Regions from separate parts of the Mus musculus genome. Here region 1 is reported to be linked to region 2. The links are microRNA targets in miRTarBase. Many come from high-throughput screens and were not tested one by one. Region 2 holds a microRNA gene; the other region holds the end of a gene's coding sequence.
Evidence for each region. The annotated mature microRNA mmu-miR-3068-5p reads UUGGAGUUCAUGCAAGUUCUAACC and lies in region 2 at 1,274-1,297, opposite strand. An mRNA with a match to its seed (bases 2 to 7 or 8) in the 3' UTR can be bound and repressed. Matches are read on the target gene's strand: a 7mer-m8 pairs with bases 2 to 8, a 7mer-A1 pairs with bases 2 to 7 and ends in A, and an 8mer does both.

Region 1: miRTarBase lists Iffo2 as a target of mmu-miR-3068-5p. The part of its 3' UTR that is shown has no 7-base or 8-base seed match.

What each region holds. Positions count from the first base shown.
Region 1 is chr4:139,615,776-139,619,176 of GRCm38, reverse strand. It overlaps Iffo2 (intermediate filament family orphan 2), which reads right to left. Exons shown (of 9, transcript NM_001205173.1): 9 at 1-2,849. The coding sequence ends at 2,744. Among named protein-coding and RNA genes, the nearest start is that of Aldh4a1, 5.4 kb to the left of the region's middle.
Region 2 is chr12:87,436,451-87,439,851 of GRCm38, forward strand. Mir3068 (microRNA 3068) reads right to left here and starts at 1,307; the gene lies at 1,229-1,307. It overlaps Alkbh1 (alkB homolog 1, histone H2A dioxygenase), which reads right to left. Exons shown (of 6, transcript NM_001102565.1): 3 at 1,947-2,109.

The DNA of each region.
Region 1 (3,401 bases), not on the chromosome of region 2:
TGTGTGTGTGTGTGTGTGTTTCACGACCAACCAGGAACCTGAAAGGATGCTGTCTCCCTGCTGTGCCTGTGTATGTGACCCCCAAACTAGGAGCATGGCCAGGGGCAACACGGGGAGCCCATCTGAGAAGCCCTGAGCCCCCCCGTGTCAATATGACACGGGGCTCAGACATAGAAAAGTCAAGAGAACATATGTACATGTTTACACGGGTGGACAAGTTCGTCCAGACAGGGCAGGCGCTGCCCCAGTGAGAGGCGGCCCCAGTGAGGGGTGGGGTCTTTCTGGGCAAGCTGTGGGCTCACAGTGAGCACAAGCAGGACCCACTGGCAACGAACTACGAAACGAACAAACCAAACACTAAGAGGAGGCCAGGCCCAGAGCCCAGACCAAGCCAGGAAACATGCCTACCACACCCTTGCTCCTCTCCACTCATCCTCCTGCCTCAGAGCTCCACCTCCCAGGGGAAAGCAGACTTTGAAAGTCAGCAGGAGGGAACCCAAAGGAGTCTGCTTTTCTCATGCACACCAGACAAATGACCTATGTATACAGGTGGGAAAGTTAAATAACACCAGAGACCAGCAACTACACAGTAGCTGTGTACACAGCCATCCCCTCAAACGTTTACGCTGTTGCTTCCTGTCTTAACGCTAGAGATACATGTCAGCCCACCACCTCCATGAAGAACGATCAAGGGCTGGCTTCTGCTCTGCCCACCTGACTACCAGACTCTACCGCTTTACCGCTGGATGGAAACGGTCCCCAACCTCAGTCAAGGACCCATGAGGGCAACCCTCCTCCTGCCCTCACAGAAACGGAAATCTTTACAGCAGCTAAGGTCCAGGCCCATCTGGCTCTGATAACCTTTGGTTAAAAAAATAACATAGAATAAAATAAAACCAAAACAATAATATCAATAACACACAATAATAATAACCAGAAGTGTATGAACCCTGTAACCTTTAAAAGAAGGATTGGTGAGAAAGGGGAAGAGAATAGTGAGGACAGGGGCTGTGTCTTTTCCCAAACAATTGTCCCTCCAAGTACCTGCACAGGGACCAATGGGAAACCCCTCCCCACATCATGGAAGACACACGTAAGAAAGGCCACCAAGTTCTGATAAGTTACAAGCCACCAACAAACACATCCTCTCTCCTCTCTATCCATACATAAGCCTACTATGTACACTGGCTCTAAGTGCAAAACAGATAATGGAACCACCTAGAGAGAAACAGAGGGATAAAGAGGAGGCTCGGGTACCACTATGGTTCCAGAGTCCTCTGCCCTTTACCACCCAGGCCTCAGAGGGCCATGGGTTCTGATCCCTGGGGACATTTTGTTCCTTTGAACTCCAGAGGAACCCACTGGGTCAATAAAAACAACATAGGCCATCAAAACCACTAGAGTGGACCCCAAAATAAGGAAAGAAATAAAAACAAAACCTGATTGTTGCTAGGCAAGTCGCCAGCTGCTCTCTGATAGACGGATGCTCTATCTTATGGCCCCTTACCTCAGGCCCCAGGGGAGCCTTGGGGAATCACTGGCTCAGCGTCCAGACAGATGGGTATGGAAAGCATGTATGAATGAGGACGGTCCTCACTTGAGGCTTCTCTCCAGTCATTGCCAGCCTGCCAGCAGCCATGCCACTCCCCCCCCCCCAACAAGGCTTTTTCCCCCCAGCCAGAGGGACAACGGAGGACCAAGACGGTACTGTGGAGGACAGAGTAGGTAGCAGGCCTGGCCTGTTCATACTTTCTCACAGAGAAATTACAACCATGGAACCTGGCAGGTGATTGGAGAGGCGGGAATGAACATCAAGTCATCAGGAAAATAAAAGACCACCACCCACCCCACCCCACCCCACAGAGGTCCCCAAGAAAACCATCAGTCCAGTGGGCCGGCTTGCAGAATGCAGGCAGGCCTTACCAGCAATCTGACTGGGACCACCCCCAAAGCCACCTCTGAACCTCAGAGGCTATGAGGGACTCATGCCAACCTTGGCCTCTCTCCCAGTTCCCAGAAGTCTGAGAGAGGGCCTGCCTTCCCCAATGATATAAGGCAAGCTGCTTTTAGGTTTTTTTGTTTGTTTGTTTTTTGTTTTTGTTTTTTGCATAGTTTAAACACAGTGAGGTTCTTCCTTCCCCCACAGTGCCTTTCCCCGATACATCGCCACTAGATCCAAAAGAAGAAGAAAAAAATTGGTCTTCCCTCCCTCCACTTCCGTCCACCACTCTATCCCTGGGTGAGAAAGTATTGACGACTCCTCCTCGCCCAGCTCTGGAGGTAACACAGTCTACTTCCTTGAGAAAGCAGACCACCGCAAGTCATCTTGGGACAGAGGGAGGGAGCAAAGCTCATGTCCAATCAGAGGAGCAGGTGGGAGGGAGAAAACCAAAAGCTACCACGCCTCCAGGCCCCACCCTCACCTTAGAGTTTTATATTTAAAAAAACACCTGCTAGGAAGAATTCTTTGGAGCTCAAAGTGGCTCAGCTTAAGGGAGAAGGCACAGTTGCACTGCATCGACGCACAAAAGTCTGCGTTTGTGGTGTGTGTGGGGACAATAGAAAAATCGACAGCACCATTCCATGGGTCGGTGGTGGAGGAAGGAAGGAAGCAGCGGTCCCGCTGGGCCTCCGGAGAAGGGAGGACAGAAGTCTGTGTCGAGGAGTGGAGCCCACACGGCTCAGTGGGGAGAGGAGGCTGGACCCCATCACCAAGACCACCAGGAGCGTCGGGCCTCCGTCATCAGCTGACCATGGGCTCCACATCCGCCTCCCGCTCCAGGTCTTCCTGGATTTCGTCTGTACTTCCTGAGTCACTGCTGGCCACGGAGCTGGGGGACGGTGAATTCCTGCATTAGAAACCAAAGCCTTTCAGAGAGCAGCCTGGGGGACCCTAACGGCCCAGGGCCCGGAGCTCTGGCCGGTCACACCTGTTAAAAAACCTACCCGAAGGGTCTGGGGTGAGCAAAACTTTTGCCTAGTATGCACAAGGCTCTGGGTTCCACTCTCAGCAACAACACAGTGGCGGCTACCCTGAGGGGCTCCTGCTGTGAGATCCCTGCAAGGCGCACTTTCTCCCAGTCCCTGTAGGTTCCATAAGCTGCCTAGGGCTCTTGGCATTCCTTGGGACCTCTACCCTAGCCACTGCTTACTGTAGCGTGTGGCTTCTCTTTGGGAGTGGGGGGTGGGGTGGTCGTGGGTATTCATTCTGTAACTTTCCATCATCCCTGGTCTGAGCACAAAGTGGTGCCCTCTGAAAACCCCAGGTAACAAAGCGATGCCCACTGAAAACCCCAGGTAACTGGGAAGAAGGAACCTCAGATAAGAAAACGCCTCCACCCACCGAGCATGGTGGCGCACGCCTTTAATCCCAGCACTTGGGAGGCAGAGGCAGGCAGATT
Region 2 (3,401 bases):
GGGGAGATATTGGGGGAACCAGATTCTCTCGGGGGAGCTTCCTGAACAGTGATACTTTTTACGCTACAGACTTTGGGAGTGGAGAGAACCTCATGTACCGCTCACAGCACTGGAGCACAGCATGACCCACATACCTGGACGGATCATCCCAGTGAGAACACTGAGACATACATCACACAGCACCAGGACTCAGAATATTAATTTCTTCTGGCTTTGACAACATAAGGTATAACCACCACCATTTTTATTTTTGCTAATAGACAGAAAAGTATTCCCCATTGGCTATTGATTGATTTATTAGAGGTTCATCTGAGCTATCTCAGAACGCAGCTGAGATTTCTATAATCATATATCAGAAGGAAAGAATAAGTTATTTGAAAACACAGGCTGGTTTAGTGCTATTAAGCACCATAATTTCTTTCTCTTTTATTTTTCTTTTTCTTCCCAGACAGGGTTTCTCTATGTAGCCCTGGCTATCCTGGAACTCACTCTGTAGACCAGGCTGGCCTCGAACTCAGAGATCTGCCTACCTCTGCTGGGATTAAAGGCGTGCGCCACCACTCTGTAATTTCATTCAGTCACCCCTTCCTTACACTGCCTTCAGTTCTAAGGGAAGCACTAAAAGCTGAAGAACAGGGAAGGTTTCCCTCACGGCTCCTACATGTACCTCAAATTATGGACTAAGGAAGCTTTAAAGGAAACCACTTTCCCTCTCCACATAAGACTATCTTTTATTTCCCCCCTAGAATCAGGCTAACAGTTTATGGCCACCAAGCATCTTCTAAGGATTTCTCACCTATATTCACAACACTCAGGAAGGAAATGTTAAAGAACTTGCTGAAGATTACCCAGCTACTATGGAAGGAGCAAGGACCTGAAGACAGGCAATCTGACTCCAGAGCCGCTGTTCTAGAGTGTTAAACCCTGTACAGTTTGGTCCTACTCTACCTAAAATGCCCACTTCCTGTTTGTCTACTGTACCTGTGACTGCCAGGAAGCATCTTCTGTAAGTTAATCCAACCTTGCCACATGAGTGACCACTCTCATGATCATGTATAAACTCTACACTGGATTCTGCCAAGGAATCTACTTAAATGTTCTTATTTCTTCATGTTTTTACAAAAATCATAGAAGTCAGGAAGTGTTTTCTTGCCTTCCTTTTTAGAATGGAAATAAACAAGCAGGTTAAATAACACCACCCTGCAGCATGAGAACTGAGCAGATGGAAGCAGAATGTTGGAGTACTGCAATTCACCCAGCTACTGAGTAAGCTGGTTAGAACTTGCATGAACTCCAATTACTCTCGCATACTCTGTCCCCCTTGCTTGGCCACAGACAAGAGTCAAGCAAGGTCTACGGATATGCCCATCTGTGTGTGTGTGTGTGTGTGTGTGTGAGAGAGAGAGAGAGAGAGAGAAAATAGATACAATTATAAAAAACAGCATTAAATAGTAATTTTTCTTGGATACATTCACCCTGTTTGGAAGAATTACTTCCTCCTGGGTTTCCCAAGTTCCTAATCACTATTAAAGAGTGTCCATATCCTAAAGTTTTGTGTCTCCAATGCCTAGGTACCCAATTGATTTCTCCAATGAGTATTTGTGGAATGAATGCTGAAACATCAACATCCAGGCACTAGTTCTTCCATGAGCAACAACCGACCCATCACAAAAGAACTAGTGTGAGCAACTCCATGTAAAACCCAAGTTCTTCCTATGAGTCTTTAAAGGAACATACTTTATATAAAAATGCCTGAATCAGAATTAGAACATGTGATGATGAATGTGGACGAACTCAGTGTCTAAGCTACAATAAAAATATTCAAAGTGGATCTCAGTTTAATATAACCGTTAAATCCTCTGTCCCAATGTTCTTGGGGAAACAAAAGAACAGTGCTGTGTAGAAATGGGGGGGGGGGGGGCAAAAACCTCAACACAGCTGCTTACCTTAGGACCTCTTTGCTCTGTTCCCACAGTCCTTGGGTCTCTTCTTTAGTCATGTGCTTGTCCAGGTTACACACATTAGGTTTCTGGGAGTACAACTTAAGGCACTGTTTTACCCAGTGCCTCTGGCATCCCGGGAGGAAGGGGTTTGGAATGAAAATAAATCCTGTAAAAGACAAAAGATGGGTGTATGTGTGTTGAAATTGTTCTGGTTTCTTTTTTCATATTCTTTTTTTTTTTTGGTTTTTCGAGATAGGGTTTCTCTGTATAGCCCTGGCTGTCCTGGCACTCACTTTGTAGACCAGGCTGGCCTTGAACTCAGAAATCTGCCTACCTCTGCCTCCCGAGTGCTGGGATTAAAGGTGTGCGTTGCCATGCCCGGCTCTTTTTTCGTATTCTTATGCCTACTATTCTCTTGTTTACTTCCCATATCCTTTCTACTTAAAGTTAATGAAAAACCAACTTCTGACGAACATGAGACAGTGTAAATATCTGACTTTTGGGGACATTCTCAAGAGGAATACATAATCTACAAGGTTAGCTGTCAACAGTGCTATCCTAAAGCAACTTCAGAACTGAAGGTTCGCCGGGCATGGTGGCGCACGCCTTTAATCCCAGCACTTGGGAGGCAGAGGTAGGCGGATTTCTGAGTTCGAGGCCAGCTTGGTCTACAGAGTGAGTTCCAGGACAGCCAGGGCTACACAGAGAAACCCTGTCTCAAAAAAGCCAAAAAAACAAAACAAAACAAAAAAACAGAACTGAAAGTTCACCCTTAGACTTTTTTTTAATCCAGTCCCAATAAGTCACAAGACTCCCCCAAGTCACTTTTGCATACAGAAGTCTACCTCCAACACTGGATTTAATTAATCATACATTCATCCAGTAAATGGAACACTAGTTATTAGTCTATTTTGTTTCTCGGCATCAAATCTACCTTTCTTGAACATATAAATGCATATAAGTCCAATTTTAGAGCATCTGAAACCATCTTCTTGCTTTGACCAGCACTGTACACATGTTGTGCACAGACCAAGTGCAGGCAAAACCACACACTCCCACATAAGAAAATACTATTCTAACATTTCCAAAAGATTAAGAATATGTCTGATCCAGTGCACACTTTCGAAGTAACTCCCAATTTAATGCCTCTAGGCAGTCTAGTTCAGAATGTGGCTCATTTGTCTGTAACTCCAGCTGCAGAGATCTGATATACTCTTCTCTCCTTTAAGTACGCATGTGCACATACCCTTCTCCACCCCATATGTAATAAAAAATGTTCTCAACTTAGGCCAGAGATATGGCCCAGCAGTTAAGAGCACTTCCAGAGACAGTTTTGGTTCCAAACACTAACATGGCAGCTCATAACCATCGTACAGAGCTGGAGAGATGGCTCAGCCGTTAAGAACACTGACTGCTCTTCCAGAGGTCCTGAGTTCAATTCCCAGCAACCATATGGTG